Struthio camelus: one gene and its partners. The protein of the gene in region 2 purifies or fractionates together with the protein of the main gene of each other region. This does not show direct contact. Links are inferred from orthologs where the notes say so. Each region holds a gene or a part of one and is shown on either strand. Other genes may lie near its edges.

What was found.
Region 1: the proteins of CHD3 (region 2) and MTA3 purify together in Homo sapiens (affinity purification with mass spectrometry; 4 studies listed by BioGRID and IntAct, with this or other methods). This does not show direct contact. The link is inferred for Struthio camelus from reciprocal best matches to the Homo sapiens genes CHD3 and MTA3.
Region 3: the proteins of CHD3 (region 2) and BCL11B purify together in Homo sapiens (affinity purification with mass spectrometry; 3 studies listed by BioGRID and IntAct, with this or other methods). This does not show direct contact. The link is inferred for Struthio camelus from reciprocal best matches to the Homo sapiens genes CHD3 and BCL11B.
Region 4: the proteins of CHD3 (region 2) and CDK2AP1 purify together in Homo sapiens (affinity purification with mass spectrometry; 6 studies listed by BioGRID and IntAct, with this or other methods). This does not show direct contact. The link is inferred for Struthio camelus from reciprocal best matches to the Homo sapiens genes CHD3 and CDK2AP1.

The regions. Positions count from the first base shown.
Region 1 is NC_090944.1:111,823,882-111,831,490, forward strand, and holds the start of MTA3 (metastasis-associated protein MTA3), read right to left. Parts: upstream 3,007-7,609; 5' UTR 2,764-3,006; coding exon 2,652-2,763; intron 1,989-2,651; coding exon 1,921-1,988; intron 48-1,920; coding exon 1-47. UniProt on the Homo sapiens protein: Acts as a component of the histone deacetylase NuRD complex which participates in the remodeling of chromatin.
Region 2 is NW_027182697.1:108,035-115,952, reverse strand, and holds the start of CHD3 (chromodomain-helicase-DNA-binding protein 3), read left to right. Parts: upstream 1-4,912; 5' UTR 4,913-5,049; intron 5,050-5,196; exon of another isoform or gene 5,197-5,295; intron 5,296-5,372; exon of another isoform or gene 5,373-5,494; intron 5,495-5,648; 5' UTR 5,649-5,655; coding exon 5,656-5,884; intron 5,885-6,606; exon of another isoform or gene 6,607-7,918. Other genes in the region: CYB5D1 (cytochrome b5 domain-containing protein 1), read left to right, coding at 1-154.
Region 3 is NC_090946.1:69,453,033-69,459,938, reverse strand, and holds the start of BCL11B (B-cell lymphoma/leukemia 11B), read left to right. Parts: upstream 1-3,901; 5' UTR 3,902-4,951; coding exon 4,952-5,009; intron 5,010-6,906. UniProt on the Homo sapiens protein: Key regulator of both differentiation and survival of T-lymphocytes during thymocyte development in mammals.
Region 4 is NC_090958.1:16,837,156-16,844,727, reverse strand, and holds the start of CDK2AP1 (cyclin-dependent kinase 2-associated protein 1), read right to left. Parts: upstream 3,008-7,572; 5' UTR 2,681-3,007; coding exon 2,614-2,680; intron 1-2,613. UniProt on the Homo sapiens protein: Inhibitor of cyclin-dependent kinase CDK2. Also acts as a component of the histone deacetylase NuRD complex which participates in the remodeling of chromatin.

The DNA of each region.
Region 1 (7,609 bases), on a different chromosome or scaffold from region 2:
CGCCTGTAAAAACACACCACTTTTGCTTCCACATTTCCATTTGCAGTCTAGAAAAGAAAGACAAATTAAGTCAGAATCCATCTTCGTCCAGCTGGGTAGTAAGAATTACGTGTTCTCTACTCTTTTTTTCCTCCTCATGTTCGTATTCAATGTGATTGGTCATGCTGAAACCAACAGAATTCTAAATAGCTAAATAGGAGCTTCTTGGTAAATGCCAACATCAATTTCAGCTCACATAATGGCATTGATTAAAATTACTTATTCATAAGAAAGTATTTATATATTATTCTGTTACTTACAAATGTAAGCATCAATACGATGCTAACGTAAAACTACTTAAGACACATGAGGTGCTTGTGAACGTTTATTTGTAACCCAGTTTTAGACAGAAATGCACATTTCAAACTGCCATGCCAATTTTCGAAATATTTAAAACAGCATTTATTTGAAAATTCATATCAGCTCATAAAATGGAAGTTACTGCACAGCTCTGTTTGCACGACTTACTACAGATTTACTTTTTAAAAATAATAAAATGACAAAAAATCTACTAATATTTTAAAAATTGCACACTTCCTTGTTATAAATATTAGAAAGTTAGCTATATACCTCAAGTTATTTATTATATTTCCAATTCAAGATGTACCATCATAAAGCATCATGTTTTAAATAAGTTTCTTAATAAAAAAGAAAGCATCTTATGTTTGAAGCATTTCATTATGTATTTGCATAACATCTCCTTATTTGCTCAATGCCTTTAACACATGAATAGCACATAACTGACAATGAAGGTATCTGGACTATACCCTGGAAACCTCTCTTAAAAAAAAATCAATATATGGCTCTGCTCAAACCATCCACAAGCAAGATTAAACTACAGCAATGCAGTTTGAAGATAACAAACATTACAGTTAGAACATAATTGGAATCACTTTAATTACTGTAAATAAAACATATTCTCCTCCAATAAAAGTCAAACTGATTTGCCACATACAAACAGTAGATGAATGGATGCTGCATTGGATAGCGCTAACAATGTGGATCATGGCTAGAGTAGTCTTGTATTCCATTGACAAGAAGAAAACTTTTCACAGTCATCAAGTTTGAATTTATTTTCTAACCACAAAAACATCATTATCCTTCACAATATAATAGGTATTTTGACTGTTTACTTTTGATATAATTTATTAGTAAATTGTAATATCACTACATGGAATAGTAAAAAAAAAAAATGCTGCTTTATTTTTTTCAAAAACATTCTTAGCAGCACAAGAACTAGGAAATAATCATGTTTTCCTCAAAGTGACACTCTAAAAAGTACCAACTCAGTCAACAAAAATACATTCAGAATAAAGACAGAGAATGTAGACTATTTCTATTCAAGACCCTGCCCTTCATTCACAGTGCAATTCATTCAATAAGTGCAATAAACAGCAACAGAAGCTTTGTATTCTATTGTTTGACCGCTGCAAATTCTCACTGATATCTACTAGTTTTTTTACATATATTATATATATACACACACACATATACACATACACACACATATAAAAGCAAGCATGTTACATGATCACTGTCATTCCAGATGGATTCACACTGTCATCACCCTATGTCGAATTAAACTCATTACTCTCCTGAGCATTCATAGGATTGTTTATTTGGCCCAGGGATTTTTTACTGCTGACAATCCAGAATGATTAACTAGGTGTTTCCTTAGATAACAAGGTAGGACTACAGTGTATCACATAGCAACAATGTAATAACTGAACATACAGAAGGCACATAACAAATCTTAAGAACGTACAAAACTTTCAAAAATTCTACTGATGGAAACTTTATGAGATGGAAACAGTTCTCAACTTTCGAAAAGTGCACAGACTGTTATCAAAGGTTAAGCAGTGATCTTAAATACGTGTGTACCTTGTTAAGTTCTTCAATTCGCCTGATGAGATATGGATTGCTGGAAGAATTTTCAAAATATACATAATCTACAATTAAAAAAAAAAAAAAGAGAAGGATACTGAATTATTTCAAAATAACGTACCTAGAAGAACATCATTTTTGTTAGGGCAAGGTTTTTCGTAAACCTAGAAGCTGATAAAAAGCTGAGGCATCTCACTCGATGGCAGATAGTGCTCTGAAGCATTCCTACACCGAGATTTTCTCAAAACTTATTTTTACAGGGTCAAAAGTACCTCTCAAATGCTGCTAGTAAAACTTTCGATTTGATGTTTGACTTGCACCACACATCTTGCAAAGCATTGTTTCTTTATTTTCAAAGAATCTGGGCAGGGACATAACAGCATTTAAAACCCTTTGCAGTGCTGTGACACCACGCTACAGCGGAACAACTTGGGGTAGCTCATTCAGCTCTGAAGAAAGCCAACGGGACTGTTCACCGTTGCCTACTAAGCTCACAACGAAAAGGCTGAGAACTGCTGATGCAAGCAGTAAACCCTGCCCAGGCTTCAACAGCGCTGCTCAAGGGAGGATTACTTCCACGAGTAAAGGCGGCGGGGATCACACTCCCCACGTCCCAACGAGGGAGCGTCCAGACGGGCGATTTGCAGATGTATCGGCATACCCTGAAAGAGCGGCAGGAAGGGACTCAAACTGCTGCCGCCCCTTTTCCTTTGCATCTCCCCTCTCACCTCCGAGCACCGTTTGGCAGCAAAGAGGAGGAGACGAGACGCGTTTAACGCCGAGCAGCGCGAAGCGCACCCCGGCGCACCACCTGAGCGCCGCGGCCGGCGCCGCAGCCATGTTCGCTCCGCGGCGGCGGCGGGGGGGAAGTGATGACCGGCGGAGGCCGCGTCCTGTGGTTTTTTTCCCCCATCCGAGCGCCCCCCTTTCTCTCCGCGGCGCAGCCCGGGACCAACGCACTCTCCGGGGCCCAAGGCGGGGGGAAGCGGGCGGGAGCAGCCCGCCCGGCGGCGCAGCGGCCGTTCACTCCAGCAGAGGCCGGCAGGCCCCGCCGAGGGCAGCGCCGCACCGGCCCGCCAGGCCGCGGCGGCGGCCGAGCCGGGAGCCGCCTCAGACCCCCTCCCCTCCCCTCCCCCCGGCCGGGGCCCGGGCCGCCCTGCGCCCCCACCGCCGCGGCCCGGGGGAGGCCGTGCCCGGGCGGCTCCGCAGCGCGGGCGGGGGGAAGGCAGCTGGCGGCGGCGCCGCTCCCCCCCTTCCCCGCGGAGGGCGGCGCTGCCCGGCTCCTCCGCGGCGGTGGGGGCCGGCCTCCCACCCGGCGCGCAGGGCTGCCGGGGGAGGAACCTGCGCCCTCCCCCTCCAGCCCGCCGCGGGCCCGGCTGCCCCGCTCGGGGCCCTGGCCATGGCGGGGGAAGGGAAGCGAAGGGGAAGGGGGCGGCTCTGCTCAGCGCGCCGCGCCGCGCACGGCCCCGGCCCGCTTGGGGCCCCCCGCCGCGCCCCGGTCCCGCTCCGCACCGCGGCGCCGGGCGCGGGCCCCGGCGACGGGCGGGCGGGCGCGGCCCCGGCCCCACATACCTCCTACTCGGTACATGTTGGCCGCCATGTCTGCGCTCCGCGCCCTCCTCCTCCTCCTGCCGCCTCTGCCAGGCCGGGCTGGGCAAGGCGGGAGCGGCTGCTGCGGCTGCGGCTGCCCCTCCACCCCGCGCCGCCACCCCTCCTTCCTTCCCTCCCTGCCTGCCTCCCCGCCCGCGGGCACAGGCCGCGGCGCCGCCCGCCTCACGGGGCCGCCGCCGCCGCCGCTTCGGCCATTTCCGGAGCCGCCCGGCGGCGAAGGGGTTAAACAACCGCCCCCGCCGCTGCGCCCCCTCCCCCGCGCACACCGGCCCCGGCCGGGGGAGGGCTCAAGGGCCGGCCCGGCTCGGCTCGGCGTCGCTGGGGCTCGGGGGGCGCCCCCAGCCCGACCCGACCCCCGGCCCCGCCGCAAGGTGACTTACCTTGGGGCGGTCGCAGCCTCGCCGCGGTCCCCGATGCGCGACATCTTGTAGGCGCCCGCAGCCTGGTCCCGCCGGCTGGCAGATCCGCCGCGTGAGGAGCCCCACGTTGCCTGTAGGATCCCGGCGGATAGTATCGTTATTATTAGTCCTGTTTCTTGTGTTTGCAGGCTCTGCCTCCCCCCTAGTTGAGTCTTTGTTCCTTCCGGGCAAACGCGCTCTCCCCCCTTCCCCAGCCCGGGAAACTGCTTGCAGTGGTCCCGAGAAAGTGTCTGACACGTGTGTTCACTGCTCTGGTTGGCATTGATCTGGCGACCTTTCTGCCCCACATCCCCTTCAAAAGCTAGCGCCCCACTGATCAGAGCACAAGGCTGCGGTTACCCCCATCTTCCCCAATAAACGGGAAGGCGTCTGCCCCAGGGCAAAGGCAGAGGCAGCGGCTAGTCTGAGCATCAGTCGGTGCTGAAGGAATTGCTTACAAATCACCTGATTAGAGGGATGCTCCAGGAACATCAATATTTATGTAGCACAAAGCTTGTCTTGCCATGTTTATGTGAAGTTCCCAGTGTCGCAAACAATGTATGCATGCGATTTATAAACAGCTCGGTCCTGCTTCAGAGTGCTTCCTTTGAAGAGAAATGTTCTTTATCGTTTTCTTGCAAGGAGGGTGATGATGTATCACTTGCTTCACGTTCAGGATTTTAGTGCGTGTTATCTTGAGCGTTTGCCAGCTAACATTTCACTTCGCCCTGAGCTGAAGGAAAACGTAGTGTTATTAAGGGAGAAACATGCTGATTTTTAAGAGGATGAGCTTCACTGGTGTTTCCGATGACCATACGCTCTCTTCCCTTTCCCTTTTTGAGTGAATCTGTGACTATGAGGGTAAGTTTGCTTCTACTTTAAGTAGCGTGCTTTTAATTTCATGGGTTACTACTTTGCGTCAAACAAGCTGCTGACTTTTAGCATGACTAAAACATGTGAAGTTTGTATACAAAGCCCTCAGTGACTTGTACTTCTTCACAAAACTGCAGCAAAATCTGAAATCTTCCTCTGTCTTGTCTCCTGACAAGCAAACCTGTGGGATCTGAAAAGGTCTGCAGAAACTCCTTGAGACGTAGCAGCTCTATGCGATGGCACTGGTTATTTCTAGAAGCACAATAACACTACCTTGGCAGGACCAAACAAAAATAGCCAGAAGTTAAACAGTGTGTTATTTTTACTCTTGTGGTTTATTGTTTGGTAAATAAAACAGAAATTAAACTTTGAAGGCAAGAGAACAGTTAATTCAAACAGTTGGCTCGTTGCAGTCATTGTCAATTAAACACAATGCCTCCAAGCTCTTTTTCTCAGCGTCAGTCTGCACTGCAACACTAGAGGAGTTGCCCACACTTTCGGTCTACCAGTGTACCCTCATCTAGCAAGGAGTGGATTTCAGTAGAAACAAGACTGCACGGTCCCTGCGTGGTCTGAAGACATGGCCTGTGTAAAAGGAAGATTGCTACTGAAGAGAAAGAATTTGCCTTTCAAGAACTTGAGAGAGAACAGCCCAGGAAACCCCACGATTGCAGGCTGCTTCTGCAGCTCCACGCCCTAAAAATAGCACGACAAAGCTTTACTTACAGTTGCCTAAAGAAAGGCATGCGTAGCTTGCCTAATAACTCAGGTAGTTTATGTACCTCAGTACTGAATCACTGAGCCTGGTTATTCACTGTAATGCAGCTTGTATAGGCACAGACTGATATGGGATGGTGTCATGCTGCTCTTACTGTGTCTTTGCATACTTTAAAGGGACTGTACTGCAAGCTGAGGAAAGCAGTGGGCACAGCTGGCTGTGGCTGGGGACTGAGTTGCAGGAATGTCAGTACATCTTAGTCCGGTGTAACGAATAGAAAAGACTGGCTAGAATTTTTCTTCTCTGCTATCTCAGTACAGGGAATGGTAAAAGTCGAAGTTGTGTAAACACCTTCATATTTCTAAATAAAATATAATGCAAAACTTGTTACCTCTTCTTCCAAGCAGATCACTGTTGAGTAAAATTCTGATAAGAGCTTTCTCTTAATCTGATAAATGGTCTTTATAGCTATATACAATAAAATTACTTGTGTTATCTGAAAGAAACCACATTTCTGTGGCAACTGAAGTCAATAATGCAAAAGAGCATACTCCTGCTAGAGAAACGGATTATCAAAGAATCTCATTTGGTAAAAGCTTTTTTTGTTGTGCCATCCTGAGCAGCCCATAATTCCGTCTGAAGTCTGTGCTGCCCTTCAGTTGAAAAAAATCTTCCTACCCATTTATGGAGTCACAAATTGAAACACATCAGAAAAGTGATCTAGGTCAAAAATAATCTAGATTAAGTTTAAAAATAATCCCTATACCTCTTTTTTTTTCTAGACCAATTCCCTGATCCAAGTTCACCAGCTAGCCCCACAATGAGCTAAATCAGAACTGAAGAAGATGGAGCTGAGAGGAGGGCTACCGGGGAACGTTTTGTCAAGTTACCACTATGATGTCCATTGACTTGTCCGGACCTCACCCTCTTTTTTTGACTTTTTCAGTTTATCTTCTTCAGATGCTTTTACATACTAAATACCCATTAAGCTGACTGGTGCAATACTGTATTCTTACTCATTTAAAAATGCAGTGGCGATATACAGATTTTTCATTAAGGCTGATACAAAATGTTTCACTTTTCTTCATAGGCAGCTCTTAAAGGCTTCCTGCTTACATGAGGGATTGGTTGGACTAGGGGAATAGTAAGGGGTCAAATTTTAGCCCTAAATTTTCATTTTTAATTCCATCTAGCTTTTCAGAGACTAAAAACTTGTCAGCCATTGGCAGAACAACGTTCACAGGAGTTCAGAGATTTTTGGACAAGTTCTGAAGAAGTCTTGTACCAGATACAAAACCTCCTCACTACCAATGCTCTTTTTCTACTATTGTAGAGACCAAAATGAAGGCTTCAAAAAGCTGTTAACAACCTTACCCTAGAAAAGTTAAGCATTTTAAAGTGGCAAAATAAGAGAACTTTCCTTGCAGCTGTCATGCAGCATCCGGTTTTGTGGCCAAAGAACTTAAATCCAGAGAGGTCCAGTCCAGTATCTTCTATAGGAAACAAAAGCCTGAATCTTAAAAACAAAAAATCCCACCAACCTTATAAAAGAAATCAGTGCCAGACAAACCTCTTACTAAGTTACTGCCTTGAGGATCAAACTGACAATTCAGAGATATACAGTAAAATACATCCAGAGATGTGTGTTTTAAGAATGACCAACTTCAAGGTAAAATACCGCAGATTTTAAAAATAATGATTTTTGGCACTGTAACTTGCTTTCTGTCAAACCAGTTGAACTACATGCCTACAACATCCTACAACATATCAGCTATGCTTAGAAGTGCTTATCACAAGTAGCTGGAATAATTTTGGATCTTTTAGGTATAAACATCTTATTAAAATCACCAAAAGCATTGAAGGAAAATTACTTGTACCATATAAAACTGGCTCAGTTCCTTACAGTGCTTTTATGGAGACTCATCTCCATGCTGATGCAACAGAAAGGAAAAGGTGTTTAGACTTTCCCATCCTTGGGCCACATTCACACGGCCTAATTCAATCCAAGTACTTAAACCTAGAGTTTATTTCTAGCATGAGCAGTCTGAAAGCATAGGGTCTGAACATTAAACAGAGGGTTTACAAA
Region 2 (7,918 bases):
TTGCGGGGTCCCGCGCCGGCGCGGCAGCAGCCCTGACTCATCATCGGTCGAGCAGAGCCGGTTTCCCTCGGGCCCCGGGTCGAGGCCGTCCCCGGCGTTCGGCCGCGGCTTCCCAGCGGAGAGAGGCGCTCGGAGACGGCCGCCGCGCGGGTGACGCCGGCTGGCGTGACAGTCGGCGGATCGCCGTCGTGGCGGGGTTCGGGAAACGCCGCTGGAGAGCCGGTGGTGGGGCCGGATCCCCCACTCCCGTGCGGAGTTGGGAGGCGCGTGCTGAAAAAAGCCGCCCGGCCCCCAGGCGCGTCCGGGGAGCGCGCGGCCCCCGCCTGCCACTGCGCTGGCCCTCGGGAGCAAAGAGCATCCCCTGGCTCCCGCGGCAGCAGCTGACGTGGAAAAGCTCCTCGCGGCGGGTATTTTTAGCAGCTTCCAGCATGATTTAGCAGCTGGAGGCGAGGAGGGGAGCCAGCGCGGCGCACTCGCCAGCTCCGCATGGGCCCCGGCGTGGGAAAGACCAGGGCTCAGCAGTGCAGATCTGCCAGCAGCGGGGGGCGGGGGGAAGGGAATAATCACAGCGCGTGCTCGTTATCGCCAGGATTATGATAAGAGTTGGGCACAGAGACTTTATTTTCTCATCCTTGTTTTTGGGAGGAGAGAGGGGGGAAGAACAACCTGGCGGGAGGGCAGGTCTGGCACCACCGGAGGGAATTTTTTTTGCGGCGTCCCTTCGATTTGGCTGGACTGGTAGCGTTGGGCGCAGGGGGGAGGCAGCTGCAGAAGAAAGGGGAAACCGGAGCTTTCCTCAGGATTCCCTCCGTGACAAATATCCAGGTGGTTTGATTTGTTTTCGGTGCCCCCAGCCAAGGTGAGGCGGGTGCCACCGCTCTGCTGGAGCTCAAACACGTGCCAAAAAATTGCTGGGGGGCGGGGGGGACTGAATTTCAGTTCAAAGAAAAATCCCTCCTGGAAAACATCCAGCCTTGACCTAAAACCTCTTGTTCTCCGCGTTTCCCTGCAGTTGTGTCCGGCCGGAGCAGCAGCAAGGAGCCAGCCGAGCGCCCCGGGGCCAGCGCAGGTGAGCGGCCGCCTGGCGCGTCGCCCCCGAGCCGGGCGCCGGCCACGTCCCGCTGGCCCCTCCGCGGCCTTTCATCTCCCGGCGGGAGCTGCCAGCCGCTGGCGCGGCCCCGCGTCACGTGGGCAGGGATTTCTCCTCGCCGCTGACCCGAGGCCGCGTTACAGTAACCCAGAGGTGGAGCGAAGCCGGACGCCGCTCGCCCGCGCCGCCGAGTCTTGCCGCCGCGACCGCTCTCGGCATCCCGAGGCCTCCGTGCGTCTCTGCATGTCCTTGTTCCGCTGTCCGTCTGTCTCGCTGCGTCTCCTTCCGTGTGTGTGTCCGTTTTTCTTCCCCCCCCCCCCCCCCTTGGACCCTGCGCAGGCAGCTGGCGCGTGGCTCTAATCAAAGCCTCGTTTGCTCCGCTCCCCCCCCCCCCGAAGAGGAGGTTTGGGCTCTCTTTGGAGGTTGTCGCTTTTATCTGCTACCTTCAGGGCTAAGTCCTCGGCGGGTGCGAATCAGCCCGGCGCTGCCAATTGGCGCCGGATTCCGGCTCCGGCTGTCCAGCGAGAGGAACGGGGTGCGGATTACGCGCTGCCAGGGCTCGGGGCTGCGCGCGCCGCTCCAGCCGGCTCTGCCACGGAGACGCGCCAGGCTCGGTCGCGCCGCCAACGCTCCCCTCTCTAGAAATGAAAATCCCCTGGAAAAGGCTGATCCGCGGCCCCCGCGAGAGCAGGAATCCCCTCCGCGTGGAATTACTCATCTCGGTAAACGCCACGTTCCCGTGCCCCGAGGCCGGGGGAGTTGCTCGTCGCCCGCGACGCTGCCCGGAGGCCTCGGCCGCGATGTCGGCTCCGTCTGGCCGCGTTCGGCTCCGTCTGGCCGCGATGCCGTGGGAAACGAGGGTTTATTAGCTAAATCGATGAGGCAGCTGGGAAAGAAGCGCCGGAGCTGGAGCGTCTCGGCCGCGGGGCAGCCGGGCTGGAAAGCGAGGCGGGAAGGCCCGGTCCCCTCGGAGCTGCCACGTTCCCCGTTCTGGGCTTCGCTCTGCTGGTCCCCTCCAGTCACTGGCCTGTTTTTAGGGGCTGCGCCGCCACCCAAAAGCGTTATTAGCGGAGGAAAACGAAGCCAAACCGAAGCGATGGAGGAAGTAGGCATGGAAGAGGCAGCGGCAGCTTCCGCAGGAGGTTTTCCCACAACGGCGACCGTTTCCCCAAGCCGGTCGGCGCGTAAAAGCCTCTGTGACCCCTCTCGCCGGGTGAAACGCGGTGATAAGCGCTGCGACTTCCCTATTAGCGTCATGCCGCGTGTTGCTCCGGTCGCGCCCCTGGCCGTCGCTGAGCTGCGAAGAAACATCAAAGACGGGTTAGAGACAGAAAAAAGGGGGGGAGAAAAAAAGAAAAGCCTGCCCTGGCCGTGCCCAAGGGAACAGAGACCAAGCCGCAAGCAGCCAGGGTCAAGTTTAAGGCAAGTTTCTCCCGGCGGGGAACGTGCGCTCCGGCCGTCAAAGCCTCGCAAATCGTTAAAAACGCTACCGGGGAACCTGCCCGCGACAAAATTAGCGGCGGCAGGTTGCTCCGCGGCCCGTTAGCTGCCAGGAGGGGAGCGGAGAGAGAAGGTGCCTGGACAGTGGTGTCAAAGGGGGCAGCCGCGAAAGGACCGAACTGGCAAAAAACAAAGAAAAAGAAAAAAAACCCACCTTGTGGAAGTGAGAAATAAACATGAACTGGGTAGGAAAAAAAAAAACAAAAAAAGGTTGGGGGGGGGGCATCAACATATTCTTCTTGTCTCCAAATTCCTCCCAAACCGCTGGCCGCCCGCGCCAGGAGGGAGCCGTTTCGACACGAATTCGTGGTGCCGGTGCTCCCGGGGGGGAGCTTGGGTTAAATATAAAAGGCGCCGCGGGAAGCAGGCGGCTGGCGAGCGGCGCGGCCCCGTGGGCGCCGAGCACGGGCGGTCGGGGAGCGAGATTCGCTCTGCGCAACGATTTCTTTCCTCCCCACCCAAAAATACCTATTTTTTGCCAGGTTTGTAGGGCAAAAAAGCAGCTGAACAAGCCCAAAAATGAATATCGAAGCCGTGCCTGGTGTTAAATTCTTGGTGAGCAGCGGGAGTTTGGCCTGGCTGTGGTGCAGTTTGGGGGGATTTATGGAGTTTTTCCTTTTTTTGGGGGGGACACCAGCCCCGCCTACCGCGCTCTGGCTTCGTGCAAACCACGAGGGGTTTGGGATCCCGTCCGGAAAAGGCTTTTTCTCCCAAAAGCGGAGGGGGTCGGTGTCCGAGGGCCACGGGAACAGGTCTGCGGGCATCGCCGGAGTCCAGAGCAGGCCTGATTGCAAAAGGCCTCGAAATCAGGGTTGGGAAGAAATTAATAATCGTTATTTGCAATTTGTCGGTGGAGGGAGGGGGGGAAAAAAACCCCACAGGTGAGGTGAAAAGCTCCTCTGACCTGAGCGGGGAACGTGTTTGATGAATTATTTGGGGGAAAAAAGAGAGATGGAGAAGAAGGGAAAAATAAAAGCAGGGTCCTGGGCTGCCGTCCAGCGGCCGCCGGCTCGTCGGCTTTGGGCCTCGAGGTGAGTTTGCGTTTCCCCCATCGCACCTTTTTTTAAGTGTAACGTTCAACAGATGAAAGCGTTTCTTAGGAAGCAGCGGGAACGAATCCCGAGGGCCCGGCACGCGGCGGTTCGAAAACCAGGACGATCTGGGGAGAGCGAGGCTGCCTTCTGGGGCCGAAAAGATGCTCCGGGGGCAAAAATGCTGCAAAAATGCCCTGGTGGTGTCATCCCGCCGCCCCCGAAAAGCCCATCGGGGCGCCCCGAAGGGCTCCTCCCCGGGCCCCCTTGCTTCGGGGGGGATTTGGGGGCGTTTGGGGGTCATTGCTCCGTGCGCAGACAAAGCGGGAGACATCGGGGGCCCCGGGGTGAAAAATCCCCTTTTCCCTGCTCACCTCCGAAAGCAGCACGGCGGAGCGGTGAAAACATCGCGTTTTTCACCCCAATTTTTACGGGGGAAGCTACGGGGAGAAAAAGAGAAAGGGGTGAGTGTTTCTCGCCAGCAAAGCGGGGCAATCGCGGCGGTGGGGGGGGCGGGGGGGGTTTCTCTCCCTTTTAATTATTTCTCGGTGTCGGTTTTACCCGGGGAGGCGCGTTGGCTTTGAACGCCGGTGGAGGAAAACACACAGTTAAATCATTCCTAACGATGCACTTAAACGAATTTGGACCATGCGCTTAAATGATTTTTCAAGGCTGTTTCTTTTCTTTCCCTTTTTTTTTTTTTTTTTTTTTTGTTCTTCCTTGCCCTACAGCCTAAAGAAAGAAAGAGTAGGGAGGGAAAATAAAAAAACACACACACACACACACACACCACTCCCTTCTGAAGTATTTAAAAGTAGGGAAGGGAGGGGGAAAAAAAAGCCCCCCCCTTGTTTTTTTTTTTCTCCCTTTTTTTTTTTTTTCCGCCTGTACTAGTAAAGCAAGGAAAGCGGGCGGAAAAAAAAATCTCGTGGTGTTACTAGTATGGAACTAGTTAACCTTTAACAATTTATGCTGATGTCATACTGAGCATGAGTACTGATTAATCCAGCCTTTTCTCTCTCCCCCCCCCCCGCAAAAAATATTTTTATTGAGGGAGGTGGGGGGGGAAGTATAAGGGGAGGGAGGAAAAAAAAAAAAGAAATAATTTAGAGCAGCCATCTTTGTTTTATGCAGAAATCTTTCTCTTTCAGTTCCCCCCAGCGCCAGGAATATACAAATATTGTTCATCTTATGCACTGATCTGAGATCTTCTGAGAGATTAAAAAAAAAAAAAAAGAGAGAGAGAGAGGGGCCAGCAAGCCAAAAATCAGAATTATTTTATATCGCCAGCTATATATATTCCGAGCAGCAGCAGCAACAACAAAAAAAAAAAGGGGGGGGGGAATCTAGGCTGCTTTTTTTTTTCTTGCCTGATTTTTGTTGAGGCTTTTTTTTTAATCTTTTTTTTTTTTTAACCTCAAGGAAGAGGTGTGTGTGTGGGAGTAGGGGGTGACTTAAAAAAAAAAAAATAAGCCAGCCATTTTGGTTTTTTTTCTTTCTTTTTTTTTTTTAATAAAGGGTGGGGGGGATTTGGGGTTTTTTTTTTTTCGGTAACCTCCCGGGGTTGAGGGAAGGGGGGGGGGGGTCGGTTTTAAAAATAATTTAAGGGCGGCCATTTTTGTTCCTTGCTCTTGTGGAAAATATTATTCCGAGCTGCCCCCTCAGAATTTCAATGTATTTTTAACCTCTCTTCTCTCTCTTTCTTCCCCCCCCCCCAACTTTCTCTCTTTTTTTTTTTTTTTTGGCAGGGGAGGAAAGGAAGGGGGGGGAAGTCGGCGGGGGAAGAAAAGTTCGGGGAGTTTTCTCGCTGTTTTGGGGGGGTTCATGGCTGCATTCGCGGGACTTTTTCCTGCCGTTTTCTCCTCAGGCTGAGGTGCTGCGCGGGGGGGGGGGGAGGATTTTTTTTGGTGTGTGGCGGAGGGGGGCCGCCCCCCCTTCTCTTTTCTCTCTCTCTCTCTCCCTCTCTCTCCTCTCTCACTCACTCCCTCTCTCTCTCTCTCCCTCCCTGCCCCCCCCCCCACCCCCAGCACCACCATGGCTTCCCCTCTGAGGGAGGACGAGGAAGAGGAGGAGGAGATGGTGGTGTCTGAGGTGGAGGGGGACGAAGAAGACGAGGAGGAAGAGGAGGAGGAGGAAGACGGAGCCGGGGACAACAGCCCCGGCGACATATTCCTGTCAGCCGTGCAGGCGGCGGTGCCGCTGGCGCCCGCGCCCGCAGCATCAGCTCCCGCCGCGGCCGCTGAGGCGACTGAGGCGCCTCCAGGTAAACAACCTCCCCCCCCCCACCACCCCCAACCCCGGCCCCGCTTCCCGCCGCCGCCGCGCGCGCGCCCCCCCCCCTCCCCGCTAACGGCTTTGAAGGGGGGGGGGGCGCCGTGTTTGTAAACAACCGCCAACGGCTTTCGAACGTTGAGGGGCCGAACGTTCCACCCCCCCCTCCCTCCCCGCGCTGCCGCCGAACGCGCGCGCGCTGCCCAACGGCTCCGGACCGTTGCGGGGCGGCGGGGGGGGGGGGGGCGGTTTCTAGGCCCCCCCCCCCAACCGCCGCCCTCCCGGCCGCCGAACGGGCGCGCGCGCGCGCTGCCCAACGGCTCCGGACTGTTTGGTTGTGTGTGGGGGGGGGGGAAGCGGTTTCTAGGCCCCCCCCCTTCCACACACACACACAGAGGCGCCGCGCTGCTTTGCCCGGTTTAACGCGCCCGCCCGCGCCGAGCTCTTCCCCCCCGCGGCCGGGTGAGTGGATGTGTGTAAAGGGGAGGTGGGGGGGGGGGCATCGGCCTGGCCTTCCTCCCTCCCCCCCCACCGAGCTCTTCCTCTTCCTCCTCAACGGCTCCGTTCCGTTTGTGGAGGGGGAGGGGGCGTTTCTAAGCCTCTCCCCGGTTTAACGCGCCCGCCCGCGTGGAGGGGAGCGAGCGCCGGCCCTCCCCGCCCAACCGTTGTATGGGGGGGGGGGGACACCGTCGCGGCCTTCCTCCCCCCACCTACCGCGTTCTTCTTCCTCCTCCTCCTCAGCGGCTCCGCGTCGTCACGGGGGGGGGGGCGGTTTCGCTGAGGGCCTTCCCCCCCCCCCAACTCTCCGTTAACGGCTGTGGAAGGGGGGGGGCGCCGTCCGGGCGCCGCCTCCCTTCCCCCCCCCCGCCGCCGCCGTTAGTCCCTGGGGTGGGGGAGGGGCGGCTGTGCGAAACGGTGCCCCTCCCCCACCAGGGGGCCGCCTGCCCCATGGACCCCCCCCCACCCCGCCGCCGTGGGGTGGGGGGCGCCTGAGGGGAGGGAGGGCGCTCGGTGCCCCCGTGGAGTGAGTGGGGTGGGGGGGCGCCTGAGGGGCTGTAGGGTGCTCGATAGCCCGTGTTGTGGGGCGATGGGTGCCTGAGGGGCTGTAGGGTGCTCGATAGCCCGTGTTGTGGGGCGATGGGTGCCTGAGGGGCTGTAGGGTGCTCGATACCCCCTGGTGTGGGGCGATGGGTGCCTGAGGGGCTGTAGGGTGCTCGATAGCCCGTGTTGTGGGGCGATGGGTGCCTGAGGGGCTGGAGGGTGCTCGATACCCCCTGGTGTGGGGCGATGGGTGCCTGAGGGGCTGTAGGGTGCTCGATAGCCCGTGTTGTGGGGCGATGGGCGCCTGAGGGGCTGTAGGGTGCTCGATAGCCCGTGTTGTGGGGCGATGGGTGCCTGAGGGGCTGTAGGGTGCTCGATAGCCCGTGTTGTGGGGTGATGTGCGCCTGAGGGGCTGTAGGGTGCTCGATAGCCCGTGTTGTGGGGCGATGGGTGCCTGAGGGGCTGTAGGGTGCTCGATAGCCCGTGTTGTGGGGCGATGGGCGCCTGAGGGGCTGTAGGGTGCTCGATAGCCCGTGTTGTGGGGCGATGGGCGCCTGAGGGGCTGTAGGGTGCTCGATACCCCATGGTGTGGGGTGAGAGGTGCTGGGAGAGTGTCTGAAGGGGTCTAGGGTGCTCGGCGCGCGGTGATGTGGGATGGGGGGGTGCTGGGAGGGCCCTGAGGGGCTCTAGAGTGCTCGATACCCCCTGGTGTGGGGCGGTGGGTGCCGGGCGGGTGCCTGAGGGGAGCCAGGGTTCTCAATGTCCTGTTGTGTGGGGCAGTGGGTGTCAGGAGAGCATCCAATGGGCTCCAGGGTGCTCAGCACCCTGTGCTCCAGGGCGATGGGTGTCGGGGTGGCGCCTGAGGGGCTCTAGGGTGCGCAGCACCCTGTGGCATGCAGTGATGGGTGCTTGACGTGCTCTAGGGTGCTCGGCACCCCATGGCGTGGGGCGATGGGCAGCGGGAGGGCGCTTGATGGGCCCTGGG
Region 3 (6,906 bases), on a different chromosome or scaffold from region 2:
CAAAAGTTTTGGGAAATGGGCAGGGGATAATACATTACCCTCTTAAACCTTCCTTTCACTGCACCCTGCAATACACCAGTGTCGTGGAAAAGAAAATCAAGTCAATAAATGTTGCAATTTATATATATTTGAATAGATAACAAGAACAATTTTACTGTTTGCCATAAATGAAAAAAAAAATCCTCACCAAATCATTCCTCTGATTGAGGTTCTGCAGCTCTGTTTATGGCTGCAAAGTGATTTGATACAAAAAAACTACACATTTTGAGTTATTATATCACCCAGAAATTTGATGCCACTTAACTATGTAATTTTCAGAAATGATATAAAACCATTGCACAAAAATATTCAGGGAAACCCAAAAGACCTTTTTTTATCTTTTTTTTTATGGGTCTAAAATGAGAACTCACAGAGATCCTTGCACTGTATGTGAAGGCTGAACTGCCACCTCGGGAGCTTTATTAATATGTATGTAAATATGATCTGGTTAGATTCTGTGTTTCTGTATCTTTTCACAAGGTGGAGCGGCTAACTAAGCCGATCAGATCAATGCCCTCTGTTTATCCTTATTTTTCCGAAACAACAACATTTAAAGATTCAAAGAGAATGAGAATCGCAGCCTCATTTATATCAAGATTGTCTCAAACCTTGCTTGCTTGCTTGCTTGCTTCCTTCCTTCCTTCTCTCTCTTTTCCTCCCTACAAGTCCTAGATCTGTATCAGAAACAATTTACTTCTAAGTTAGTATGAGCTTTCTCAAGTGAAGACTGGGAAGAAACTAAAATCACATCACACAGAATATGCAGCTTCAATTTCTCTTCGACTGAAAAGTTATTTGAGCAAATGGGGAGAAAGTGGAAATGCACTCAAAATAAGTCCAAGTGACACCTCAGGCTTGTCCTCTGTGAGGATATCGGGACTTCCTCTTCACACTGGAGCCATGCTTATTTACGTATCTATATCTGTGCCAAATCTCAGCAAAAGACATCGCATGATTTCAAAAAAGAAAAGAAAGAAACCCAGAAGCTAAACATGGGTGTGCTGAGAGTTCTCGACTCTGCATGCCTTGTTGTATACAGGATAAAATGGAAGATTTAACATCATATTAGCTTGTTTTCCCCTATGATAAGGATGGTGTTTCTAGATGAGAACTCTTCAAATCCCGGGCATATTATGAAGACAGGAAAGATGACTACCTTAGTACAAGACATTTTGTGCGTGCAAGCGCATTTTTGCCTAATTTAAAACGAGGCACTAAAGCACCTTTACAGCGGGTGAAAAGCTTGCCCTCTTCTTGCGGGTTTCGCCTCTTTTGCAGCGGGGAGCAGCCGCCGCGGTGTGAAGGGCGCTGCGTGGGGCTTGGCGGCGCGCTCAGCCCACGGCGGCGGCGGGGACGCGGCGGCACCAGGCCCGCGCCGGGCTGCGGTGAGGGGCGCGGGGCAGGAGGGGGCTCGGCACCGCCGGCGCCGCCGAGGCGAGGGGCCCCCCGACAAAGCGGAGCGATGCCGGGGGGCAGCACCCGCCGCCCGGCCGCAGCCCCCGGCCCCTCTTGTTTGGCTGATGGGGCAAACAACGGCGGGGGAGGGGGACAACGAAACGGTGGGGCCAGCTGCAGATGGAGGCGGGTCGAGGGATAGGTCAAGGTTAGAAAGAGCCTGCTATTGATCTGGCTTTGAACGCGAGACAGGGAGAGCAGAGAGACTAAAGGGGGAGCTGTGAGACAAGACATTAACAGCTTTCAGTGCTAATGATCACAAGTGCCAGACAGGGGAGGAAAGAGGAGACTGAGAAATCACTTTGGAATTTTTTTTTTCCCCTTCCCTATTGGGATGTATTTTCGGAGGAGGAGGAAGAGGAGGCAGGCTGGGAGCTCACCCCCAGCAGCCCTGCCCGCAGCCTGCCGACGCGGGCGGGAGGGAGAGGGCTCCGCGCCGCTCCGCGCTGCCCGCCGGGTCAATCATTGATCGCCCTTATCTCCGGCTCCCAGTGCCCGCTGGAAGACACTGGTTAATCAACAGATGATGCCCAGTAACTTCCCGATAAGCCTCGCTCCGAAGGGGCGCAGCTTCCTGCAACTCCCTGAGAAACGGCCGGAGCCGCTGCGAGCCGGACTTTGCACCCCCAAGGACAGAAAATGACCCCCCCGCCCCTCCCCCCCCGCACCCCAGCTCACCCCAGGGGCAGCCGCTGCCCCCCGCCCCCCGCCAGCTGCGGGCCCCCCCGCGGCGGCGGCCTGGGCCGAGGCGCCCCGAGGGGACGGGCCGGGTCCCAGCCCGCTGTCGGCGGCCAGGGGCCGGGATGGCCCTGCCCGGGGCTGAACGGGGCCGGCGACAGCCCCAGGTGCCTTCCCGGCGGCGGAAAGCCGCTGCTGTCACCACGCTAGTTTTTCTTTGTAGGACCCTGTAAAACAAAACAAACAAACGCGGCGAAGAATCTAAACAAGCTTAAGCGCCGTTAAATGTCTTTTACATGTTTGCTTGTGTGTTAATGGAGGCTGATGGCTGAGCCGGGGCAGGGGAGGGCATCGCAAAGCTGGCCCTGCGCCCGCCGGCGAGCCCCACCGCCAGGCCTCGGGAGATGGGGGTCTGGCCCGCCCGGGGAGTGCGGGTCGGAGCCGGCTCCAGGGATCTGGGGGCTGCCAGAGCCGAAATGCGAGATGTGAGCAGTGTATGTGTGTGTGCGTGTGTATAGGCAAAGGCAGATTTGCTGGAGGAGGCGAGAGTGTTGCTGTTTAGCCAAATTCTACTCAAAGCTGATTAAGGGCACCGAGATGAATTCTGGTCCCCTAAGGCTCACATGCGATTTAATACAAAAAATATTCATTTAACGTAGAAAGTAAATGACACGAATGCAGAGCGACTCTCCGAGCGTGCTCCGGGTGGAGGCTGGGTTTCCTGGGTTTCTCTCCCATCCGCCTTCAAACCCCCAACACTCCCCCTCCCCATTTCCCTCGACCTGTCCAGAGCTGGTGCTGAAAAGCACTTTGCACGAAACTATTTGCTTGCCTGGAGAGAGAGGGAAAAAAATCAAAGGAGATGGGGCTAGGACAGCGGAGGTAGAGGAGGAAAAAGTTGGTTTCCAAGAAGCTCCCAAGTTAGAAGCGCACGCACTTGTGGGCATTTACCTGCGTGTGAAATTGGAGGAAAAGTGCGTTGAGATGCGGTCCCTGGGAACTCAGTGTCTCTCGATTCGTGTCTGAGACTAATTCCTCCACGAAAAATCCTCACAGCCAGGCATTTTAAGGTGGGGGGGGCGGCAGAAGAAGGTCGAAGAGGAGTGTGTGTGCGTGTGCGGCTCGGGAGCGTGTGTGCGTGCGTGTCCCAGAACGATCACACTTACATTAGGGAGAGAGGAGGAAAAAAAAAAATCTCTCCCCAGCCCACACAGATATTTGTGTTGTTGTAAAACTGTTTGAAAGAAACGCACGGGGAAGGTGCTCGCAACCGAGGAGCTGCGGCGGAGTCGAAAGGAAAGAGCGGCCCGAGACCTCTCGGGATCTCATGCCGGACACGGACCGCGGAGGAGCAAGAGCCAGAGCCGAGCTAGGACGGCGGAGAGCGGGAGGCGGCATGAGCAGCGGGGAGAGAGCAGCAGCGGCGAGCAGCCCTCCGCAGCCTCCCGCCGGCGCCCTCCTGGGCTGCCGGCCGCGGCGCCCGGCCGGGGCAGCAGCGCGGCTCGGAGCGCGGCCGCGCAGCGCCGCCGGCCCGGGAGCCGCTGCCGCCGCGGCCGGCGCCGGGGCTGAGGCTGGGCTCGGGGGAAGTTTTGCTGTGCGGGAGGATACGGATTTGTCCCCCCTCCTCTTTTCTTTTAGCATTCAGCGTACCCGAGAAACAGCACTGCACAAAGCCCGGAGCTGCTCCCGATCCATGCATATGCCTTAGTTTGTGTGTGTGTGTGTGTGTCTGTGTCTGTGTGTGTGTGTGTGTGTGTGCGCGCGCGCGCGTGTGCATGTGTGTGTGCGTGTGTGTGTGAGTGCGAGTGGTGTTTCTTGTTCTCTTGCAGGGTACAATGTTAAAAAGCCACCGCTAGTCGCCCCCAGTGCTCCTACTCTCTGGGTCTTTTTGTCTCTAGTGCAGATTAAACGTCACGTCCGCACTTGAACTTGAATTTTATCCCATTGTACAGAGGCAGCCCCAGCCATAGAGAGACAGAGCGCTCCCAGAGAACCAGGACTCCGCCATCTTCACATTGCAATATATAATAGTAATAGCCAGCACCAGCCCAGCTGCACTGGGGGCTTCCTTCCTTCCAGTCCCAGTGCCAGGCGAGGGGGGAAGAGTGCAAAGTGGTGCAGGAGCACTGGCAATCCAAAAGCACCAGGGCAAAGCAGTGCCACTTGAACTGGGAAAGAGGAGACACAGTTTTGGCTACCCCTTTTCAAAAAAAAAAAAAAATATATATATATATCTCTACCCAGAAAGGGTCAATCTCTGAAAAACAATTTTTTGGCAATTTTTGTGTGTGTGGGCAATCCCAGTTCTAGTACTTTTTTTGATATTCCTGCTTCTTTTTGATATTTTTTATTTTTATTTTTACCCTCCTGGTGGAAAAGCGCACTTGCCAATTTGCCAAGCACTCTGGAAAGAGGGAAACAGAAAAGTGTCACTGGCGGTGCATATCCTCCTAAGTTCAAGAAGAGATTTGGAAGTCCAAGTGGCAGCAGCAGTGGAGAAAAGACAGAGTGTTTGAAAGAGAAAAAGCAGAGCGACAAAGCTTTTTCCTGATGATGATGATGATGATGATGATTTTTAATTGAGAGGGGATCCCAGCTAGTGCACCACAGCAGCAACAAAAAGGAGGTTTTTTTTCCCTTTTCTTTTATTTTTGAAAGAAGAAGAAGTCGATAAAGAAGAAAAAGAAGAAAGAAAAAAAAAGAGGACGATCGGCACCCCCAACACATCTCCCCAAACCAGTGCAGCTCTCCAGGCGATGCCAGTGTAAATGCCAGGGCAATGTCCCGTCGCAAGCAGGGAAACCCGCAGCACTTGTCACAAAGAGAGATTATCACACGTAAGTTTGAACTTGGAACCAAACCGAGCCGAAATCAAGGAGCAAAATTAGAGAAGGGGAGGAAGCGGGGGGGGGGGAGTCCAGGAGAAACCAAAGCTGGTAAATGACTTCAGAGAGAGGGAGAGGAGCAGGGAATTAAAGAGGGGAGGGGGGTGTGCGGCTCGGGGGGATGGGCTGGGGGTGGATGGGGGGGAGAAGCCCGAAGTTTGCCGTGAATTTGCAGCGGCGCGGAGGTGAGGCGGGCAGGCGGGCGGCGGGCCGCGGCCGGCGGAGCGAGAGCGGGGCTGCCCCGGGGGAGCGGGGCGTGCGCGGGGCGGCGGAGCGGGGCGCGCCGGGCCGGGCCGGGCCGGGCCGGGCCAGGCCGGGCCGTGCCGTGCCGTGCCGAACCGGCCGCGCTGCCCCGCTGCTCGCCCTCGGCCCCGCTCCCCGCTCCGGGGGCAGCGCGCAGCGGTGGGAAAAGTTGGCCGAGCGCGTTGCCGCGGCGTGACAGGCGCCGGGGCGGGGTGGGGGGGGCGGGTGGAGGTGGGCAGCACAGCGGCCGGGCGAAGTCGGTGGGAAGCACATGGAGGCTGTGGGTCGGCCGGGGCAGAGCGGGCCGGGGTGGCCGCGGCGGGGCCGAGCCCCCGGCGCGGGGCGCGGGGCAGGCAGGCTGCAGCCCTGCCCGACCCAGGTGCATCGCCGGGGGGTGACTCTCCTCCAAGGCGGCGTGGGGGGAAGATGAGGTCGGACGGGGCCAGGGGCTGCGGAGGGGCTGGGGGGGGGTGTCTGTCGGCGGAGGGAGGGCGCGGGGAGAGCCGAGGCGGCGGACGGGGCTGCAGGGCACGAAACGCGGGCCGGGCAGCGGCGCCAGCTCCGGTGCTGGGGCAGGAGCGGAGGCTGCACTTTGCCGACGCTCCCATTGTCAAATGAAAACAACACCCCCCCCCAAAAAAAAAAAAGAAAAAGAAAAGCGGAGGGAGGGAAGGAGGACCCCCCCCTTCAGCTCCAGCATCCCACCCTCCTCCCCGCTCCCCACCCCCAAAACCTCGGGAGAGGGGCGAGCGCCTGCCGCGGAGCCGGAGGCAGGTCCCCGCGCCGGGCACCCCGCTCCGCCGCTCCCGGCTGCGCCCGCGGGGAGCCGCCTCCGGGCGCGGGGCCCCAGCGCGCCCCGCCGCCACCGGGGCACGGGGCGGGGGGCGCGTTACCCTCCAAAAAATCCTTCGCCTCGGACCGGGGCGTGGGGGGGGGCGCAGCCCGCCACGGAGAGGTCGGGGGTGGGCGGGGGCCGGGATGGCCCCGCTCCTCGCCGGGAAGCCGGCCGGGCCCCCCCGGCGGAGTCCGCAAGTTGCTGTGCTGCGGGGGGGGGGGGGGGGGGCGGCGGCGGCGGCGGCATGCACGGAGCCGGCCCGGGGCTGAGCCTCAGCCGCGGCGGATCCGAATATTTATGTTCAGATTTTAAAGAATTTAAATAAATAAATAAAATATTCCCCCGGCTTCTCTCCCCTCCCCTGAAAGCCAAGAATAGGAGCCATCTGCTAGGAGCATTTGGTGCTTGCGAGCTCCTCTCTTTCTTTGTTACCGGTGATAAATTTCTGTTTGTAAGATTTCCTTGGGAATCTATATATATATATATATATATATATATATATATATTTGCACCGCCTGTGAGTTTTTTTTTTCTTTTCGTAGGGGAGGGTGTGTGGGGGGGGGGACGTTTTGGCTCCCGCAATTTCAATTTCTTTCTCTCTGTCTTTCCTTTTTTTTTTTTTTTTGGTGTGCTCCTTTATTTTTTAACCCGTTCCTCCTCCTCCCCCCCCCCCGCCCATCAGCTGGTGGAACACAAATGAAGATGCATCTGGTATTCAGCTCTTTCGGAGAGGGGGGTGTTTTTAATTCATTGCTATTTTGGGGCCAGATT
Region 4 (7,572 bases), on a different chromosome or scaffold from region 2:
CAGCCTAAACTTGAAAGGAGTTAGCTCTGCAGCAAGGACACAGCTTGCTTCAGGAGCGGAGCTGCCACACTGCCTTTCCAAATTCTCCTGCACCAGAAGCCCTGCAGTGCAGAGAAGCAGCATTATCTCCCAGAGGAAAATCCCTGTGAGATCCACAGCTGGCCAGAGCCCTTCTGTCAGCTGAGACCAAAATATTCAGCATTCACACAGAGAGGCTTCTGCAGGGCTGATCTCAGGCCAAAAAGGACAGATTTCCTGTTTTCCTCTCCTCTGCAGGACGGGGGGGTGGGGGTGGGGTTCCTTCACCCCAGGTTTGGAAGCAAACCTCGGATTTTTCCTCTTGGCCAGTGGCATTTAATTTAGACACAATAGAGAAGCAACCTCCTTCAACTCAGAATTAAGCTCCAGCGAGGAGGGGGCCATTTGCAGTCATATCACTCTGAATGCGATATGTGCAACTGCAAGGACTGCTTTGTCTAACTCCCTTGGCCTTAGGCCACGGTGCTGGCAATACCACTAGCTAGAGGAAGAGCTGGTGCGTGAGGATAATGGCAGAAGACAGGGAGGGAAGAGAGAGCCCATTTTGGATTCTGAGGAGGACGGTTTTTCATTGAAAAGATCCTAGGGGTGTTGAGGGTGATCTAAACTCAGGAGAGAGCACAAGTTAGACAGTCCCAGCATGACAGCAAACTGCTGCTGTCTTGCCATTAAGGGGAAGAAAAACAAAATGTTAAAAAAATAATAATAATAATAATAAAGGAAAGATGAAAACTGCATGAAAGAATCTAAAACCCCGATCGCAGCCGGAGCATTAGAAAGCACAGAGACACGGCAGCAGGAGGACCGGAGGCAGAAGTTCACCCCTCGGCTGCTTTGTGAGCGGCATTCGACCGGGATCCTGCAGTCTTCCCGCTCGGCGTGGCCACACTTGGACCCCCCCCAGTACCACCTAATCCCCACCCCGCCACGCACCACTACAAAATACTACCTTTGTTTCCCCTGCAATTTTACAGCTGTTCCAGAAAGCAAGGCACAGGTTCTCATGGGAGAAACATTTCCCCTGCGGTGCTTCATGCATTGGGGCTTTTTTTTTTTTTGGGGGGGGGGGTGACACTTCTGCTTTTTTGTCACAAATCCTAGCACATCTCCTGCTTCCTGGCCCCCCTGGGAAGCGGCACTTAGGCTCAGGGAGCTCCCTGCACACGCCAAGTTTCCCCACGCGCAGCCCCACCAGGCTCAGCTCCCCGCAGGATCGAAGCTGCCCTGCACGTAGGAGTTGGAGGTGCAGGGACCTCAGCTCCATCACCGGCTGGTGCCAATTCCTTACAGTAAAATGCAATCGCCGCTCTCCCGGTAGTGAGAATAGAGGTGCATCTCCTTAATCCCCTTCGTCTATCCATATCCCAGGAACACAACCGCAAACAGTGCTGTAAAATCCCCGAGGCAAATTTCCCTCTCCCTCCTGAACCAAACAGCAAAACTTTCCCTTCTCAAAACATCAGTCGTATTTCTGCCTGCAGAGCGGCCGGTGCCAGCCCTGCAGGCTGGAGCTGTGGGAAAGGGAGACGGGAATATGGTTTCTTTTTTCTTGTCTTTCTTTTTAAGTCAGAACCAACTTCTCCATTTTGGTTCTGTTTCAATACTAGCCGGGGTGCACTGATTAGTGAGTTCCCCTCCAAATACCCCAGAGCGGAGCAATCGCCGCTGTGGCTTTGTTTGGACTTCACCAATGTATACGCGCGATGTATATGCACCCCGACACCCAGACCCACTCTCACAGCCAACACCTCACCCTGAGCACAACCCCTCACTGCCTGTTACCGCTGGAAATGAAATAAATCAAGGGGGGGGGGGGGTAAAAGCAAAACAAAACAAAAAAAGTTAATCCCATCAAGGAAAACTTTTTTAGAGAGGAAAGTTGGGACTTCTCTACAGATCCAATGAGGAAGAAAAAAAATAATAAGAGGGGTTTGGGAAGAAATAAAGAGCGATTCCTGCCTCCCCCTCTCCCCCAAAAAAAGAAAGAAAAGGCTCCAGGCGAGCGGGGCGGGTCGGAGAGACGGCGCGGGGGCACGGCGAGGGGGGCCGGGGCCGGGGCGCCCCTGGGCCGGCGGCCGCCGCTGCCCCTGAGGAGAGCGGGGCCGGCGGGGCGCGGGAGGCGCGGCGCGGAGCGGCGCGAGCGGCACTTGCGGCGTCCCGCCAGCAGCGGTCCTCGCTGAGGCGCCGGCGGAATATTCCTGATCCAGATCAATCAGCCGCCCCGGGGAGCCGAGCATGGAGGAAAGCCGGCGGCCGGAGCCCCGGAGCGGCGGCGGTAGCGGCGGCGGTGCGGAGCCGGCCCGGCGGGCGCGGCGCCCCCGCGGAGGGGCGGCGCGGCCAGGCGAGGCGAGGCGAGGCGGGCTGGCGGCGGCGGCGGCGGCGCCGCCGGGCGGGCGGGCGGGCGCTGGTAATGGCGGCGCGGAGCCGGCGCGGAGCCGCTGCCCCGCCATAGCGGGCTGGACAAAAAACTCGAGCGCGGGGCCGGCCCCGGCTGCCGGCGCGGCGCGGCGCGGCACGGCGGAGCCCCGCCGCACGCCTCCCAAACTTGCCGCCCAGTTGCCGCCGCGGACTTACCCGGGGTGAGGGGAGTCCCGGGGAGGTGGGCGTTCAAGTTGGGTTTGTAAGACATTCCCAGCGACATGGCCAGCGGCAGGAGGAGAAAAACGTCCTGAAATCCAGCGAAGCGTCTCGGCGTCTCCCAGACACTTTGGGTTGTTTACAGCAGTAGCAGCACCGGCAAATATGGCCGTCAGTTATATTGACACCCACAATGCAATATATCATCCATACATCATGAGGAGACGCGGATCCAAAAACTTTAGGGGAGACGAGGCAGCCGGCGGCGGCGCGGCGCCCCGCGCCCCTCGGCGCGGCGGCGGGGGCGCGGAGGCGGCGGCGGGAGCGGCGGCGGCGGGGGGTGCCGCGGCGGCGGGGGGTGCCGCGACCATCCCCTCACAGACAATGGCGCGAGCTCCCCTCAGGGACGGCGCGGCGCGAGGGGCCGCGCGGGCGCCGAGGCGGGAACGGAGGCGGCGGCGCGGGGCGGGCGGTGAGGTGGTGGCGGGGCGAGGGGGGGTGGGGGGAGATGGGTGTCGGTTGAGGCGGGGGGAGAGGTTAATTCACTTCGCAAAGTTTTGGCTCAACTTCTCGTGGAAATGGGATCGCCCGGCGGCGGCGGGCGCCCCTGTCCGCGGCGAAGAGGCTCCGCGCCGCCGAGGCGCCCCTTCCTCCCCCCCCCCCCCAAAAAAAACCCGTAATTACCTATTCACCTCCGATTTATTCCCCTCGCCGCCAATTTGGATGGGAAATACCTGTTGATTGTACCCTCCCCCCCCGCTCCCTCAGATCTTCAGTGGAAATTTTCTGGTGCCGCGAAGGAAAAAAAACAATTTTTTTTTTTTAATTATTATTAGTAAAACTACTCTTTCGGCTCGCTGGAAGGCTGAAGGTTTAATAGCAGATTGCAGCCATGGAGGGATTTAACAAATAAATGCAAATCTAGTCCATGACTGACCCGTTTTCTGCTTGCGAACAGCAGTGGGATGTACCCCCTCTCTTCACCCCCCCCCAAATAAACAAATTATTTCTCGGTTTTATCCGCCTCTCCGAAGTTTATCCTTTCGGGGTGGGACGCTCGGGTGCGCTCATCCCCTACGCGAATCCAAATGCGCCTCTGCAATTGCCGCGTTTCTCCGGATTTACGCCGGCGTAGCCGCTCCGGGCCGGCAGCGCGGCCCGAGCCCCCCCAGCCCGCCCGCGCTTCGCCAGGAAATCCCGCTGGAATCGGGGCAGTTTGGGGTACTTCAGTCACAGGCGTTGCTGTTATACGCCCGTGCCGTGCGGTATCGCCGTTAGCTGGCGCCTGCGACCCCGAGCGCAGGCGGCTCCATCCTGCTCCCTGGAAGCGGCCGCGCTAATTCAGGCCTGCAGCATCCGCCGCGTTGGGCTGCTTTGTGAAGGGACGCGGGCGGCGTTTCTGCGGCAGAGACCGGCCGGGGGGGAGGCGAGTCGCGGAGCGGCTGGGTGATTCCCTCCGCCGAGCCGAGACGCAGCGGGAAGAGCGAGCCGGCTTTCGAGCCTCCGACCCTAACACCTGCACACCGCATCAAAGAAGTGTCTAGAAACCATGCCCCGTACCGGGTAAAACACGCGACCGCGTTACGGTTTTGCACGTTATCTCCGTTCCCAGCGCTCGTGGTGAAGCCCGGACGGCGTACACCGCCCTTGGCGCAACCGAGCGGCGCTGCAGCCTGCCGGCGCGGACGCCCCGGCGCCTCCGGCGTGGAGTCACCTGCTCCATAACGGTATTTTCACACCAGTGCACGAAGCTTTACCGGCGTAATTCTCGTGAGCGTCCTGAAAGATCGCACTGCTAAACCCTGGCGCTCTGCAAATACCGAACCGTGCCCCCCGCTAACTTTTGGGTGGGACGTGTAACTGGCTGCCTTTGTGCGGCCGCCGGCCGGCCGGCGCAGTCCTGCAGGCGCGGGGGCACGCCGCGCTGGGATTTTCCATTGCTCCGCCGTTGTTTACAGTAACACCGAGACAGTGCGAAATGGGAGGGTTCAGAGCTGGCCGTGTTTTTCACGGCTTTGCACCAACCCTACAAAACTGCACTCAGAGCAGCGCTGCGGAGAACAAGATCCCCTGTGTTTCGCTTCGGTTTTATAATGACGGCTTAAAAACACGCAGTATTCCTTCAGTGGTATCTCGAGGTGGGCGGCTTAAGGGACCGATCCTGTAAGGCCATCCCTTCTTCTGCACGAGCTGCTGCAGACGCTTCCCGCTCCGGAGCAAACTGACTTAGCACGCGGCAGGGAAGTTTGCAGGGCCAAATTATTTGTGCTGAAAGCGGGAACTCCGCAATACCCAGATTTTTACGTCAGCGGCAATGCATGACACCAGACCCGGGTAAAACCTGGCTTTTTGGCGTCTGAAGCAAGCTCCAGCGGGCTTGACTAGCTGCGTCTCACTGTCTTTGCAGAAGTTGCCTCGGGCAGGAGGTACCTGCGAGCTGTCCCTCTCCGTCGGGCGCTCCGTGCATCCGCTTCGGTTGTTTCGACCCGGCTGTGGCCACAGCGGTAAAACCCCCGGGGCGCTTGGGCCCGGGGCTGACGGTTTAGCAAGGCGACCGTGGCCCGGAGCTGCCTCGGAGGGGCTGCCCGGCGCGTGCTGCCCCGAGCGCCCAAGCCCTGCGGCGGGGCGAAACCGCGGTCCGGCAGCGCTGCTGCTCCGCGCTGCCGCCTGACGGCACAACCCCATCTACTGATGGTCATAGCAGCCCGCGGTCACGAGCGACCCCGGCGTCCTGCGGCAGAGCCATTTTACCACAGCTGTCCCGTTTCCAAGCCTCCTCTCCAGTGAGAAGCAACTTGGAAATAAATGCGTGCGCGTTACGGTTTTCAGCGAGGGAGGAAAGGCAGCGAGAGGAGCCTGTCTCTCTCCGGCATCCACAGGTGCCTCCGGGCACGGCCACAAAACCTCCTGTATTTTGCAGGTGCTGCTGCCTCTCCGGCGTGTCGGACCTGCAGCCTCCCCCCTTTCCCCCCTTGTTTTTCTTTGCATTCCCCACGTTCCCGCTGCTGGTTTCACTTTCTCACCTCTGATGCCCCAAAACGCTTGGAGACCTGCACTCGGGGAGTGCAAACTCGTCGTCTTCCTTCTCGTCTGGGATTAAATTAACGATGAAAAGCATGAAAGACGGGACAGCAAGACACCGGCTTCCCCTGGCATGGCTTTGACCTGTGCAAAACGTTACGTTTGTGTGTTAATTTCAATGTAATTAACTGTTGACAAGTTTAATAAATGAAGTGACTTGTGGCTGTCCTGGCCGTCCTCCGCCTGTCGCAGAGACACGTGCAGCAGCGAGAGGAGGGAGACCGGCAGTACGTCCCTTTCGCGGGAAGGAGTTTACGTTTAAATCAGTTTGTATTAAAATATTTATTCCCAAGTTTCCCGGGAGGCAGAATCATAAACACAGTAGAGGTACCTGCAAGTTTCTGGGTATCAACTCAATCCGCAAGTCCCTGAGCCGCCCTCTCGTGCCAAAACTGAAACGATCGTCCAAAACGAAGCCAGGAGGCTCTGACCCTCGCGGGCTGAAAAAGCAGCTCCTAAAGGCTTGAGCAGGGGGCAGGTTTGGCCTCTGTCAAGACACAGACGGTAGCTCCGCGCCTGCTCCCCGCAGCCCGGCGAGGCTGCGGAGCTCATCCGGTCGCTGGGGCTTCCCGCGGCGCTGCCGTTCTCCTTCCAGAGGGAAAGCTGGCAGCCCCGGTGTCCCGCTGCTGCTCCATCCGCTTTCCGGGTGACGCTTGCTGCTTACTGCCCCAGAACGCGCCAGAAACCCCCAACCGCCAGCAGACACGCTGCGTCCTCATGGCTCCCTGGCGCCTTTTCTCCCCAGCCCTCCAAATACGCCGGGAAGGCCTGGATCGCTCCCTGCAGCGGGAAGGAGCCCCGGGGAGCACCCCCGGCAGCAACCCCGCAGCAGCCGCCCTGCGCCGGGGCTGGGGGAAACCTCTCCTCGCAGCCGGCCCGCTCGAGGAGCGTTGCTGCAGTTCAGCGTATAACTTCTTTCGGGTGTAACAACTCCTGGCTGCTCCAGGCAGGCTTTCCCCTTAACCTCTTCCAGATAAATTTTGCCTAGCCCGGTCCCACTCCCCAATTTCGCTGGGTTCCTCCCAGGCCAGATGCTGTGTTATTATGGGGAGCGCCTTTCACCCCCCCCCTCCAGCCTTGTTTTCTTCCTCCTCCTCCTCCTCCTCCTCCAGAGCCTGTTGTGCTCCTGCCAGGGAAGGGCCCCGCCGGGCCGGCGGCTGCTCGGCGTCGCCGCGCCGGTGCTGCCCGCTGGCTCCTTCCCGGCTCCGTCCGCCTTGGCGCGGGACGTGCTGCCTCGGCGGTGGCCTGTACGGGAAGGGGAAGAAAAAACCCAGCATCTTTAAAGGTGAGTGAGGAGACTGGGACCGGTCAAGGCAGAGAGCTGAACGCCGCCCTCGCTTCAGCCCTGCGGCAGCGGCAGCCGCTCTCGCCTGCCCCGGCGGGAGGTCTCGCTGGAGGACCGCAGGCGGCAAGCGGGAAGTTTCCAAGCCCTCGGCCACCAAAGCCCAGGTCTGGAAACTCCCTCCGGAGAGTTTTTCCTCTTTGCGCTTTGCCAAACGAGCACCGGGATCAAAACCAGCCAGATGCCAACGAAAACCAGCCCGGACAGGTAGCGGCCTCGTTCTGCGTGTTGAGAAGAGGCGGATAAAGCTACTGAGCCTCCTCCCAGGCCTCCCCGAACCCTCGCTCCCGAGGCGCCCATCCCTTCGGTTTTCCGGGCAGGCCTCTCCCCGCTCGCCGCCGGGGCTGGGCTCCCGTCGTCCTCCCGCTGCCGCGTCCCGCCCGGCGGTGCCAAGGAGGGCGGCCCAGCCCCAGCGCGGGCGCCCGGGGCGGGTGATGCGCCGGGAGCCGGCGGTTCTCCGAGGAGGCTCGCAGCCGCGCTTTCATCCCGGCCCCGCGTGGGCGAGCTCCTCAACCTGTTCGGTGGCCGAGAGC